Linked DNA regions of Diceros bicornis minor. The protein of the gene in region 1 purifies or fractionates together with the protein of each later gene. This does not show direct contact. Links are inferred from orthologs where the notes say so. Each region holds a gene or a part of one and is shown on either strand. Other genes may lie near its edges.

Region 1 (7,726 bases):
TTCTTTCATCAGCTGTAAGGCTGAGCTGTTTTCACTGGAAAATTTCTTCAGTATCTTCAATTTGAATTGATTCAATCAAAATTTCTGATGTTTCTTACTTTCAAACAATCCAAAACATAATAGGACACTTAATATTAAATTATCAAAATATTAAATTAATACTAATTTAATTAAGCCAAAACATTAAAATTAAAAAGTAAATTCCAAGGCCATAGAGCTACCCAAACAAAATGGTGTTATCAGAAGCCAGTGTACTACTTGGGATATGTCAGAACCACATAGCTGTTTCTGAACAGCGTAGCAGAAACTCAGCATCAAGAGTAGAGAAAGAAGAGAAAACCTTTTCAGTTTTAGCTTCTCTGGCTTACCAATCATTTTATGCCAGTTATCTGAACCTATGACTTGTAAACATAGTCTCAATTGAGAGAAATGTTTCCCATGATGAGGTTAATTATTGTGCTGTGTTTAATACATGACAAATGGAGGTGGGAATCACCTATACAAATTGTTTCCTCTTTCAGGGAAGGACACTTGAGATTTTCCTGCCTTGTTATAAAATTTAGCAATTTAAAGGTTGGCAGTCTTTTTTTCCGGTTACTAACTATGTTTTAATGAGCTTATTGATTTTGGTTTTCCACCAGCATAATCAAAACCTATTAATTTCCATTTCCCCCTTTTTTCCTGACACCCAAGGGCTGATTTGAGTGTAGGCTCTGTTTAGTGACATAATTTTCATATTCTCTTGTGCGTGTTCATTTTCAGCCCTTGCACAGTGACTCCAGCCACTGTGTAAACGCTATGAGACTGATTAGGCCTATGAAACCTGCCTCCTGATCAAGATTCCCTACTTTATTTCAGCTGGAGAATTGTCTTCAGCACATTTCTGAGTTGAAACTGCTTCTAATATTTCCGAGATATATTGGTTTTTTATTCTACTTGGGGTTTACTGAACTTCTGGAATCTAAGAAGGCAATATCTTTCATCAGTTTTAGAAAATTCTTAGTCTTTATCTCCTGGGATATTGCTTTTAGCCCACTCACGCTCTCCTCTCTTTCAGAGACTGTAATTACACATATATTTTATCTTTTGACTGTATTCCACATGTCTGTTATGCTCTGCTCTTTTTTCTCTTCTTTTTTCTGTCCTTCATTTTGGAATTTTCTATTGACCTACCTACCACTTCACTAATCCTGACTTCTGCTGTATTCAGACCGCTGGAAACACACCCAATGGGCTCTTATTTTCAGTTATTGTAATTTTTATATTCAGAATTTCCATCTGATTTTTTTATAGATTCCAATTCTATATTGAAGTAAATTATCCATTTTACATCATTGCTCATTTCTTCCTCTATTTTCTTAAACCTATTAGTCATAGTTATTTCAAGTCCTGTCAACTCTAATATCCAGGTCTGTTTCTATTAATTTTTCTCTTAGTGGTTAGTCACTTGGATTTGATTTTTAGAATGCCTCATAATTTTATCTTGGATCCTAGACATTGTGGATGAAAAAATTGTAGAGGCTATGGATAATGTTATTCAACTCCCAAGAGTTCAGTTTTGTTCTGGTATGCAGAAAGAATACTGGCAGATCAGTTTGATCCTGTAAAGACGTGGTTTTAAGCTTTGTTAGACCTATTCTATTTCAGTACTGTATTGCCCTTACTCTAATAGTGTGGCCTTTTTGGGTATCAGCTGAAAGCCCTGGGTGTCTCTCTACCTTGGACAGGCTTGAAGTCCAACTTGTGTTAGATGCTGAAATCTCTTCTTAGCTCATTAGGCTCCATACTGCTGTTTTCTGGCATCTTGCTTTGTGCATGCTGGGCTTAGGAACTGGCCCCTATTCTGAGGGGAATTTGTACCCAGATTATTGAGCTGCTTCTCTGCCATTCTCCCCTCTCTGGGGATTCTCCCTCAAGTCCCAGCCACTTTGGCAGCCCTGAACTTTCACCTTTGTCTCTTTAGCCCAGTAATACTGCCATCTTGTACTTGGCCTTTATTCTCTAGCACCTGATTTGTAAAATTCTCTCAGGAGAAAAATCCCAGGGTGAATATGGAGCTCACCTCATGTGCTTCTCTTCTCTCAAGGATCATAGATTGGATTCCTGTTTGCTTTGGCTACTCCTCAATGCCTTCCAAGACTTGTTTTTGTATTTTCCTATATTTAAATATATATAGTATTTATATATTTATTAATATTTATATATTCTATGCAATTCCACTCCCCTTGCCCAGGAGGAAAAAGTTAATCTGATACATGCTCCTCCATTTTGGCTGGAACTGGAAGTCTCAGCACTTCTTAGCTTTTGGGTTTGTGGTAATTTCGATGAACTGTTTGTCTGCCTCAACTAACGAAGATGGCATATTCTCTTTAAATTAATGAACCCATTCCTTTTAATTTGTGTATTATATAAAATCTACTACTCGTCTGTGGGCAAAGCCAAAGTCTGAGTCAGCTAGGAGAGCAGCTTCAGCTAAGTAATAGGATTAGAAGCCCGACTGCCAAGAATTAGGTGGTAAAGAATGAATGGAAGTCAGGAAGTATAGACATCAAATGAATACAATGTATTTAAGCAAACTGGTTATGAAGGGAAGTGAGAGCTATGACGGTGGTTAGAGGTGGAAGAACTTTGTTTTAGGGATGAGGAGACTTGAGCGTCTTTATAGGCTGGGGATGGAGCTAATGGAGAATGGGAGGCCAAAAATATAAAGACAACAAAAGATAATTAACACTTTCTAAGTAGAGATGAGAGCGGTAGGGTAAACTGCCCAGGGAAGATAGATTGGAAAGAAAGAGAGGTAAAGATATAGATTAAGTTAGGAGGTTTGAAAGAAAGAATAATGAGATACTTGATGAGACACTAGATAGCGTTATTTCCAAGAGGCAGTTGGAATCATGATGGGGGCGACCACTTAAAGATAAAGAAATAGTAAAGAAGTGGAATTAAAAACTGGATGAGATGGATAAGTGAGAGAGACAAGTCTCAAGTGACTCCCAGGTTTGAGGCTTGAGCCACTGGGTTGATGGTAGTGTGGGGGTTAAAAAAAAACAAGACTGAACAGCATATTTGGAAGGAAAAATAAATTAAGGGTGAGTTCAGCTTTGTTCTGTTAACCTTAAAAATAAAACAGCCAGTTATTTTACCAGAAAAATGAATTTATTTGGGAATAGTCATAGAATTGCAATTTGGAATGGGCATGCTATAGCGGACCATTGGCAAATCCAACAAACAAGAGAGAGGAATGTTATTTTATAGAGAAAAAGGAGGAAAATGGGAGGGATTGTTTTGAAGGACACTTCACTGGGGAAAAGCAAGAGTTCAGGACATTGAGAGTTTCTCATTGGCTAAGTTGCTGGGGTAGTCCATTTCTGTTTGGGATCCAATTACATTTCTTCCTGTAATTGACGGTGCTTTCCTGTTGACTTCTTTCTGTTGAGGTCTATAATTGACTTTTCTGTAATTGACCTTCAATGGTACTGCATGGCAGCTCCCCCTCCCAGCCTCCCAACTCCATTTTAAATGAGGTTTCCCTTTATTAATTTTCACAGTTCACATCGAGTCAATCAACAATAGTGACTATATTGCCTATCAACATTGGGATCGATAGTACCCACCACAAAGATAAAGCTTCTCCCTTGCAGGCTTTGTGCCATATAGAATAGTGTAGTAGAAGCATTCTGCTTTGCTGGAGACTCACTAGCTTCCATTCTTAGAGGACACTGGAATATAAGAAAACGGTTTTCAGAACAAACATTTAGTGGAGGACTTATTTGACCTATGAACTTTTTTCTAACCATGAAAACATACCCTTGACTTGATGGTGGATACCAAGCTATATATATTTTACTATGAGTTCTTCATGAAAAATGGCAATCAGAAGGCCTCAACTGAAAGGAAAACTGAGGTTGTTTAGGAGAAAGGTTTTTACAATAACTAAAGGGAAAATTGAAAAGAAGATTTTAAAAGGAGGAGAAGGCGGGAAAGAGGGAGAAAAGAGGCTAGCCAACAACCTGGAGAAGTAGTGATTCTGAGGAGAGGATAATACAAGAGGATGACTGCTTTTGAGGGAGGAGGAGAACAAAAACTGGGAAAATACGGAGAGAGGAAATGAGAAAAGGAGAAAGTTCTTGAGGTTGGAAATTGAGGATGGTGACAATAGAACGGATAGGAAAAATAAAGAATGAAGTCTGGGAAAGAAAAGCTCTCCACGTGGGGGTAGTAGGTGGAGAGAGAATGGGGAGATGATAGAGGGTGAAGAGGCAGCGGCGGATGTTTGTGGGAGAGGGACAGAGGCAATCTGGGCGGAGCAGGTGGCAGAGGCAGGCGCGGAGGAGGCCTAGTCCTTCCAGGTCTCCACCACAACAGTGGCAACTGGTGTGAATACTCATCCACGCCTAGACGATGGATGCGCCTTGTCAGTGCGGGAAGATCGTAGGAAAACCAAGCAGGGACGGTAGCTAGGACTGGCGTGGCCAGGCTCGGGAAATCCATGAACAGGACCAACAGCGGATCCTGCTGCCGCCGCCGCTGCGACTGCAGCAGCTGCTGCCGCGCATCCCGCCGGGCGCACCACGCGCCTTACTGGTCTGGGGACACGGCGCAAGCCCCACAGCCCTCGCGGCGGTCTCCCGGCCGGGAAGGACGGCATCCCGAGCAGGCTGGGAGCTGGGCAGCAGCGGCCGAGGAGGAAGAGGCAGTCGCGGCGGCCGCACCCTGGATGAGGTGAGAGCACCGCGGGTGCGCCGGAGGCTGCAGACTGCGCCGAGAGGGGCGGCGCGCCTTGCGCTGGGCTAGAGAACCGCTCCTGGGACTGGGACCCAGGGGCTGGAGACCTGGGCGCCTGGGAGGGGTTGGTGCCAAGTGACATTAGCTTGGAGAAGGTTGAAGGGCACCAGGAGTGAGGGGTGATGCAGCTGGTGGCGGGGACGGGAGGGGGAGAGACAGTGGAGGGTTGCCTAGAAATAAAGATGGGGTGCTGGATTGTACCGGACTAAATCTTGGGAAACCCAGTCTCTATCCCAAGGTCTCTGCTTAATGTGGAGATCACCCGCTTTGTTGGCGGAGATGAGGTTGAAGGCCATGCTTGTTGGGTGGAGTCAAAAGAGAGATGAATACATGATTCAGAAGGCCATGTCAGGGTGGAAGCATTAGGGATAGTAAAAGGAGATAAAGGATCAGGAAATGTGCATGGGAGTACATTTGAAAGAGTAGGCACTGCCTTCTCTTACACCCTCTTTTTAATTTTTTTTTTCATATTTATCTTAGATACAGACAGCAAGATGGGGGTTGGTGACGGTCCCTTCTTCCTAGGCTACCTCTCTTCCCCTACAGAGCTGGAGCCCTGCCTGTTGGCTGGATGAGGTTGTGCAGGACAAGCTCCACCCAAACAGGTCCCTTCCTTTGCTCTGGCTTGGAAGATCGGGCAAATGAGGCCCAAATTGTCTTCACGCAGCAGTAGCAGGATGAAAATCTGCCATGCATACGATTTTTTGGAGAAGAGACAGATGGTGCTGCTGCCTTTTTTGAAATAAGCATTTCCTTGTCATAGCATCTTTGGCTTATTCTCTTATGGGAAGCTAGTACCCATGAAACAAACTACAAGGCGATAGTGGTTTCAGTCTCTAAGCTGCCCTTAACTAACTGGGATCTGAAAAAAGTTACTCATTTCTCTAGGCCTCAGTTTCCTATGTGTAAAATCAGGATTTGGATCTTTTGAGTATTTATTACAGAACTAAATATTAATGGAATCTGTATTCTGTGTTCAGAACTATGCTTTATTTGTGAACTAGGAAACAAGTTTATTTACAGCCACTTAATTGTATTGATTCATCATACTGTCCACTGTTTATTTGAGAAGACTGAATCAAACATTCAGTTAACAGTGCTTAAAGGAATCACATTTCTATTAAGAAATCCATAATAAATTACTGCTTTTAAGAAGGAATGAAGCAAGAAGTATTCATTATTTGATTTTTTATAAAGTGAAATTTTAGCCTAAATATAAGTACTTTTTTTTTTAACATATCTATCTATGGGGTGTTGAATATTTTTTACAGAGTACTTTGGAGTTTTTTTAAAGCTTGAAACAAAAAAATTTAATCTGAATATATATTTATAATTTAAAATCTTCTTAACTACTTTATCTACACTGGGGTGACCTCCTTTCATCAAAAGAAGCATTACCATTGCAAAATTTTAAGTGGATCGTGACTTCTTATCATAAAGGTGTGATTTTTCTTACTGTCTTTGGTAACAAAAAGTTTGTAGGATTAGAATTTGGTTCTCTAAATTGTGGTTTAATTGTTAAAATAAATAGCATGCTTTAATTATTTCATTAATAGTTACTCATCTGACAAACCTCTACATTCATCTTAGTTGATGTAATGACGAGCCTTGAAATGTTTTTAAACATTTCAGGAATTCTCAAAGGAAACAGTGTCAGGGACTTCACTGAGGTTGGTGCTACTCTGACCTTCATTTAAAAATCAAGTCTCCAGGAATGTGCAGCGTACTTTTAAAAACATACGTGTCTTAACTATAATATTAGAGGTTTATGAGAATTAGAGGCTTGTACTTGGGAAGGAGTGTTTTTGGTATCCAATTTTCTAACTCCCAATCAACTAAAAAATGAAAGAAAGCAACTCTGCACACTATCCAGATTCAATTTAATTCAGTGTTATTTATTGAGCAGTGCTGGTGGAGGCCAGTACAAAACTGGATCCAAAACTACCCTCAGGTACCTGAGACTCTGTAGTTCTAAACTATGCTCATCTAACTATGTATAGTATGGAGTAAGTGCTGTAACAGAAAGATGGACTGTGGAAATAAAAAATAAGTAAATAAAAGAATATCTCTGGGGAAGGCTGGCTGACTGTGTCCCAAGAAGCCATACAAGGTGGCCTTATCTTGGAAAGTATGTGAGAATCTGGTCTTTAACTTGTTGAGTCTGTTTCTCACACTGATATTCAACAAATCCACGAGACTATGATATAAACCCAGGAAGGCAAATTATTAATTTATAATGAAGATTCTAACATCTTAGAGAATTAGACCCTCTTTTGTTATTTCAGTGAGGTCTCTGGGCATACTTGCCACATTCAGAAGCCAAATTAGAACCACAAGATTGTTTGTGAAACTTGAATTTAGAACAAAGGGGATTAATCAGTGAATTCTAAATTTTAAAAAACACTTTAAAGCTTCAAACAGAGTATCAAGGGATACAAATGGGTTCTTCCTTCCCTGGATGGTGTGTCACTAATGATCAAACTCTCTTCTCACATACACCTTTTTTCTGTCTCTGACATGCTAATATTTTCAACCAGGTCATAGTCTGTTTGGCTTGGGGAATCCTTGTGTCTGTTTCAAGTGTCTGCACATCTCTTCTCTGAACCAGTTTGTCTTCACCATAGCTTGGTGAGCGTACTTGCCCTAGGTAAAATTCATGACAGGGATAGGGAAGTGGGATTGGGGGACCTTGTTACAGCCCCTATGTCCTGGCAATATGAACCAGGTAGTTAGTGGCAACTGGATATGGTGCTAAGGGACAGTGGATCAGAGAGGGCTTCACACACTCAGGAGAAGAACTTTGTGTGGCCTAGTAAGATAATGAAGTCAGGGTTGAGGGGAAGGCAAATTTTAGCCCAGGGATACAAGCAGATGTATGGCCCTGAGAAAATGCCTTATTGAAGTGAGACCCACACTGGGACAGCACTTTTCTATGAGGATT
Region 2 (7,509 bases), on another chromosome or scaffold:
TTTCTTCTCCTGTTCTTCCTTTTTTTAACTAACAAATTAAAAAAATTTTTACTTGTGGTAAAATACACATAAAGTTTACCATCTTAACCATTTAAAATCTATAGTTCAGTAGTGTCAAGTATATTCACACTGTTGTGCAACCAACCCCAGAATTTTTTCATCTTGCCAAACTGAAACTCTTTACCCATTAAACGGCAACTCCTCATTTCCCTCTTCCCTCAGCTGCTGGCAACCACCATTCTACTTTCTGTTTCTATGGATTTTGACTACCCCAGACATCTCATATAAGTGGAATCAGACAGGCTTATTTCGCTTATTTCACTTAGCATAATGTCCTCAAGGTTCATCCATGTTGTACCATGTGTCAGAATTTCCTTCCTTTTTAAGGCTGAATCATTTAAAATTTTTTATTTTTTTTTTATGTTTTTTTATTTTGGTTCTTTTGTTCTTTTGTCCTTATAAGTTTATCGTTTTGTTTTATTTTCCCCATTCCTTTAGCCATTATTTTAGTACAGTTTCCGGAAGTGGAGATAAATTTTTGAGTCCAACCTAGTCCTTAATAGGAAAATCATATTCTATTTATGAAATCTAAGGACATATTCTCTGTTGCTTTCGACAATCTCTTTAACTTTGCAAGACCCCTTAAGGAGAAGAGAATAATAAAGTTGCATTTAATCCTCATTTAGCCAAAGAAAAATTTATGCTTTGCTTTGATGTTAAGCAAAAAAGTTACTTTAAGCAGTTGTCTTTTTACTATGAGTAGAAACTCTTTCCTGGGAAAGTTAGTGTAGTGGATCTCAAGGTTTGGTCCCCAGACCTGCAGCAACAGCATCACCTGGGAGTTTGACAGAAATGCAAATACTCAGGCCCCACCTCATACCTACTAACTCTGAAAATCTGGGGGTGGGGCCAGCAACTGTGTTTTCACAGGCGCTGCAAGTGCTTCTGATGCTTGCTAAAGTTTGAGAACCACTGGTCTTCTAGAGGCAACGCTTCGCAAAACCGCATCTAGAGATTAAACATTTTGTTTAGTTTTACTCCAAATGTTTACAAGATTTTCAGGCTCTGAGGTGACCATCTTTCAGCAGACAAGTTGTGAGGCACCCCTACCACCTATAGTGCCCATCTGCGGGACTTTTCTCTCTGCTGGAGAGGAAGGCCTTGTCCTGTATTTATACTACCTGACCACTTCCTTACCCTGCACCCCACTGGCCACACTGACTGAACCAGGAGAGGAGCCCTCACTCAAGGCCAGCCAGTCCACTGGATGGTCAGGACCAACTAGCTGGATCCTCTCTCGAGAATATGAGCTAGAGACACGAGACCGTAGTCAGTGCTGAACTGCTAAAGGTATAGAAAACTGAGTGATGGCCACAGTGGCCCTGTGCAGGCACAGCCCCTGTGTCCTTTCAAAAAAAAGTAGCCCCTGCCTACTTTTTTTTCCCTTGAGTGGGTATACATTTTTTGCGCCAAAGAGACTTGATCAGGATACATCTTAACTATTGATAAGAAATGCCGTATGATTGATTGGTCGTAGTTAGTATCATCCATTGTAAAGCTTGCCCAAACTATTGGCTTCTCCACGCTCTTGTCCTCTTTTGGAACTGCATATAAACAAATTGATGTCTCTGTCCAATATGTGTTTAATTCCCCATATGTGAAAACACATTTGGTAGCGCTCTTATTGCATTCCAATGCTGAACTCTTGGAGTTCTTTTGCAATTGCTTCTGATTCTCTGAGAAACTAGTGCAAATTGCTTTGTAAATCAACAACCAAAGAATCAATATCCGTGATGTTCTTTTAAAGAATTTGAAGATAAATAGTCCCCATAAGCCACTGTCATTGTACTCCAAGGTTCAAAAGGAAATATTCTGAAAATGAAAGCAAAGGAAATCATACAATATTACCAAAATGGTTATGTGGTAGTGAATAAAAGCCAGAATATGATTTGAGGAGTGAACGTTTGTTCTGAGAACAATATTAACATAACAGGAATATCAGGATCAAGCTTTACTTTTTCAGGTCACGGTTATTGATTTAAGAATTTATGCAAACAAAAATCGTTATCAGAGAGTTGTTTGCAAAAATGTTTTAAATCCAACATGTCTTCTTTTAATATTATACTATTGTAGAATATCCCAGGATGGGAGAGACCATAAAGGTCATCTAATCCAGTTATGCATTTCCTGCTTGACTCACTTCTATACCCCTAAAGAAATGACAGCCACACGACCCTGGCATTGTGGTTGATGACAGAGCCATTTACCATGCCTCATATAGTAAATCTACAAAAAGGAATCAATGCATTTTGAAAACACAAAATATAGGATGCTACTTTGAAATATGGCTTTTGTAAGTGTTTGGAAAAGTAGTGCTTTTTTCTTCTGTTATTCATGGGGGAAAGGGTGTTAAGCATTGTGGCAGACACTATTTATTGTCCCCAGAATTGGTTGTCCGTAATCTACAAATGTCTGGTTGGCACATGACTGCTCAAAATAAAGCTTACATTCCCAAGCTTTCCTTACAGCCATGCGTCTCGGTTACTATTGCTGTGTAACAAATTACCACCAAGCTTAGAGGCTTAAAACAACCTTTGTATTATGCTCACAGATTCTGTGGGTCAGGATTTGGAACAGGGCATCACGGGGCTGGCTGCTTCTGTCATGCGATAGTGACTTCTATCAAAGCAGTCACAAGCCCATCCAGATTCAAGAGGAGGGGAATTAAGACTCCAGCTCTTGATGGAGGAGTGGAAGGTCACACGCAGAAGAGCACATGGGACAGGAGATATTTTTGCAGCCACCTTTGGAAAATGCAATCTGCCACACTATAGGTGTGGCCATCCTAAGTTCTGGCCAAGAGGACATAAGAGGAATTAGTGTGTTTAACTTTCTGGAAGTGTCCTTAGGGGGCGGATGTGTGTTTTGGGGAGGTGGGGAGAGGTTCCCTTCTCTTTTCCACTTTCCTCTTGGCTGAAATATGGATGAGACGACAGGAGGTGGGGCAGCAATTTTGGACCACAAACTGAGGATTCCGGAGCTATGAGCTGGAAAGAGCCTGGGAGCCTGATGACCATGGGAGCACCCGACCAGCCCTGCCCTGTTTACATTTACATTACAGAGAAATAAGCTGCTCTCTTGTTTAAGCTACTGTATTTTGCATTTTCTGCCACATGCAAGCAATGGTAATCTTAATAAAGACATCATCATTAATGAAGACAGATCAATGCTAATCTTAATAAAAACATCATCATAAATGTAGACAGATGATGCAAATTCATCTTAAATTACTGGAGCTATAAAGACAATAATGCCTATATGGTTTATATAATGCTTATACGATTGGAGTTTGACTAATATTGTGGGCCATGCAGTGAGGATCACAGTACTTTATAAAAGTTTACATCTTAAAATGCTTGACACTTACAATTAGAAGTACTTTACTATATTTAAAGACAACATATTATTATGAGGTTGATAAGAAACGAAAATAAAGAAAACATTCACTCATGGAATGAATACAAATTGGATTACAAACAAAGGGTTTATATCAAGATGTATTTTTATTGGTAAGTGCCGCACAACAAATGGTGCATTTGTTTCAATAAACAGTAGTAAACGCACAAAGTGGACAATGAAATAGTATCAGTAAGGCAAAACATCATAGACTGGATGGAGAAAGGCTGGAGAAAACGTGGCGAAAGAAAAAGAAAGGTGTCACAAAGATGGAGCATTATGTCCAAAAGAGAATCAGTGCCATCATATGACTTTAAACAAAAGACATTACCAACACTTATCAATAGATTCTCGGAGGAAAATAAAATGCCGCTACCGAGGTGGGGGCTGAAGTTTCAGGGCAAATCGCGCGGCACCAGCTCGGCGTGGGTTTCCTGTGGTTAATGACAGGTGGGAATTCGGCAGAGCGGCCAGCCCGCTCCGGGGAGTGCGGACAGGTGGACGGCGAAACGCGCCTGGAAGAGGGCACCCGGGTAGTGTGGAGCGGCCCCCCACGCCCCCGCTGCGCGCCGGAGCAGCATTCCCCGCAAGCCCGCCGGCGCCCTCCACCGTCTTCAGGCCGGCAGCTGCCCGAGCGGCGGGTGCGCGGCGCCCGCCGGCGGTGGTTGCCATGGTTTCCGGGAGTCACGTGGGCGCGCGGCGGCGGGGCGGGGGCGGGGGCGGGGCGGGGCGGCCGGGCGGGGGAGAGGAGCGGCCGCGGCGGGCGCGGGAGGAGCCGGAGATGCTGCCAGCCCTCCCGGGGCCGCGCTCGCTCAGCCACCGCCGCCGCTCGGAGCAGCCGCGCGCCAGGAGCTGCGGGCCGGGCCAGCCGGGCCGCCGGGGCCCAGTGCGCCGCGCTCGCAGCCGGTAGCGCCGCCAGCGCCGTCCGCGCTCGCCCGGGGGCCGCGGGGCCCGAGGCCGGTCCGCGGAGGGGGCGAGGGCGGCGCCCGGGTGCCCGCTGCCCCGGAGGCAGGATGAGCATCGAGATCCCGGCGGGACTGACGGAGCTGCTGCAGGGCTTCACGGTGGAGGTGCTGAGGCACCAGCCGGCGGACCTGCTGGAGTTCGCGCTGCAGCACTTCACGCGCCTGCAGCAGGAGAACGAGCGCAAAGGCGCCGCGCGCTGCGGCCAGGAGGGCAGGACCTGGGGGGACGCGGGCGCCGCCGCCGCCGCCGCCGCCGCCGCCGGGGGCGGCACCCCCAGCAGGGGGGTCAACTTTGCCGATGAGCCGGTGCACGCCGACTCGGAGAACGGGGAGGAGGAGGAGGCCGCGGACGCAGACGCAGGGGCGTTCACCGGTGAGGACCCGACCCCCGCACGCCCCGGCTCCCCAGTGCAGTTCCCCCTTTTTTGCCCTTTAATCCTGCAGCTTTGCTCACCCACCCTTGCCCGCCTTCTCCACCTTCCCTACCTTCCTATCTCGCCTACCCCCTCAGCATCCATTTCTGTCTCTCCCACTCGCCCACCTTCCTACTCTGCTCTCATGCCCTCTCCTCCTCGTCCCCTCCCCTGGAGGTGGGGAGCTGAAAGGTTGGGTTCTCGTCCTGGACTCAGAGGCAGAGGACGACCGGTTTGAGTGGGCATCTGAAAGACAACTTCCACTGTGGTTGGAAATATTTCGTTTGACGGGTACCATTGTGCATAAAAAACTGGCCCATTTGGCGTCCTCTTTCAGCCCTTATGTTTATTAATAGAGCGTCCAAAGAGAAGAGGTGAGGGGTGTTCAATTGGATTGGCTTTACTGTTATTAGGATGGCCAATTCACTAAAAGGAGCATGAAATTGGACTCACTGGGGCAGAACAAAATTTATGGTAATAGCTTTCATATTTTTGGAAACAGACAAATCTGTTAATTTCCCATTTATCAATACCGCATTTTGTTGTTTTTGGACACACAACAAAGGATCCTGTTTAGCCTGCGACCCATGGGGTCTTTGGAGTGAGGAAACGGGCTAATGGTTTGCTTTTTATTTAAAACAAATATTGAATGATATGGAGCCTTTTTTAAAAAAATAAAAAGTGTGTGAAAAACACTGTAGGAAGTTCTGAAAGCTTGTTGGTTGTCTTTAGAATGAAAAACCAGTGAGTAATTGTAAGGACTGTGCCAGACACTGAAGCTGGAAAGAATGAATGGAAAAGAAAAAGGAATTTTCTCAAATAGCTGCTCCTGGCAAGTCCCACCCCTTCTGCTTACAACCCTTTTTCCCTAACACACAGACGGACACGCACATTTACAGCTTCCTGTGTTTACACGACATGCCCAGATCCCATCTTTATGGCATCCCAAGGCTAAAATACCATGGTGTGCAAATGTGCAAGTGTTTTTTTCTCTTTGTGGTGGAAAGCAAACGTGCGTTGAGCGTTGCACCAGCCTTTATTTATTTACACTGCTTGTGGTTTGTGTGTCCGCAGAGCATTTCATATAAGGAAAACATTTTCAAGTGTCATTTCCTTGTGCATGTTGCTAGGAAGGTGTTTCTTTTCTTTGCAAAATTATTGAAATGTGTTATAAAATCAGTGTATTTTTAGCTTGTCCAAAATAATCACAAAAGCCCTGGAAATTAGTGCTCTATGAAGATAAAAGGGAAGATGGTTACTTTAAAAATTTTAATTTTGGTCTTGTTAATGTTTCCAGGGATAGGATGATCATAGTCTTAATTGTTCTTTTTGCGCAAGAATTTAATCAAATGCCTTTCTTATTAGAAGCAAGAAAAAGATAAAATAATACATATTTTAAGTAGATGAGAAAGAGAAGCCAATGATGGGTGACACAGAAAGGGCAGAGGCATCTAATACTTCTTTTATGCTCCTGAGACAGGCATGTACACACGCATACATACACATGCACACACACAAAGGGAAAAAGGACTTGTTTCCCATATGGGAGGAAACTAGGAATTTAGGGACTTGGTAAAGAACCTATATATGTTCGATACAATATATTGTCAGTATAACTAAAATATTTTGTTTGTATAATGCTTTTGAAGTACTTTGCATTGGTGATTCCCTTTTCTCCTTACAACAATGTGTATTGTACACAGAACAGATTTTATTTCCATTTTGCAATGAAGAAATAAGCCATTAACTTCTAAACAGCAGGGATCATTTTAAATGGTTTTATATTCTCCAAGGCACCTTTACTCTAAAAATTTCTCAGTGTGAGTTTTAAGAAATGCTTATTAACCAATTGCACTATTTATTCCCCAGCCCTAGCCCCAAGGACTTTAAAACTTTTTTGACTGCAACCAAATACAGTGTGACCATTATCCAATACACACATCTGTGTATAGGTATAACAGAAACTTTGGCAGTGGTGCTTCCTTCTACTTGGTGCAGTAGAAAACATCTACTAGAATATTATCTATTCCAATCAATTCTCTCGCTCGCTCTCGCGCTGGCGCTCCCTCTCGCTCTTGCTCTTGCTCTTTTTTTTTTTTCTGAGGAAGATTAGCCCTGAGCTAATATCCATTGCCACTCCTCCTCTTTTTGCTGAGGAAGATTAGCCCTGAGCTAACATCTGTGCCCATCTTCCTCTGTTTTGTATGGGGATGCCTTCCTCTTTTGATGAGCGGTGCGTAGGTCCATGCCCAGGATGCAAACCTGCAAACCCCTGGCTGCTGAAGCAGAGCGCACGAACTTAACCACTACACCACCAGGCCGGCCCCCAATTGTCTTGTTTTTTTTAAGCAAATTGTGTTGAGACCTGCAGTTTAAAAACAATTATAGATTACCAAGGGGTTGGCAAACTTTTATGTGAAGGGCCAGACAGTAAGTATTTTAGGCTTTGTGAGCACGATATGGTCTCCATCACATATTCCTTTTTTTTTTGTTTTTTTAACAATGCTTTAAACACATCTTCCCTTTGGAGGTTGGGGTTGTACAGAACTGGCCCCAGTTTGCCAACCCCTGGTGAGAGCAGAGAAACAAGTCAAAATTGTGCCATTGGAAAAAAAAAACAAAACAGGAATGAGCCTATCAGTTTAATATCTACATCCAAAGAAGTACCAAAACAT

The links. Proteins that work in one complex are often made in the same cells at the same time.
Region 2: the proteins of PDE4DIP (region 1) and PRKAR2B purify together in Homo sapiens (affinity purification with mass spectrometry; 4 studies listed by BioGRID and IntAct, counting the BioPlex papers as one, with this or other methods). This does not show direct contact. The link is inferred for Diceros bicornis minor from reciprocal best matches to the Homo sapiens genes PDE4DIP and PRKAR2B.

What each region holds. Positions count from the first base shown.
Region 1 is NC_080743.1:52,080,258-52,087,983, forward strand, and holds the start of PDE4DIP (myomegalin), read left to right. Parts: upstream 1-4,489; coding exon 4,490-4,722; intron 4,723-7,726. UniProt on the Homo sapiens protein: Functions as an anchor sequestering components of the cAMP-dependent pathway to Golgi and/or centrosomes.
Region 2 is NC_080742.1:11,401,049-11,408,557, reverse strand, and holds the start of PRKAR2B (cAMP-dependent protein kinase type II-beta regulatory subunit), read left to right. Parts: upstream 1-4,294; 5' UTR 4,295-4,469; coding exon 4,470-4,794; intron 4,795-7,509. UniProt on the Homo sapiens protein: Regulatory subunit of the cAMP-dependent protein kinases involved in cAMP signaling in cells. Type II regulatory chains mediate membrane association by binding to anchoring proteins, including the MAP2 kinase.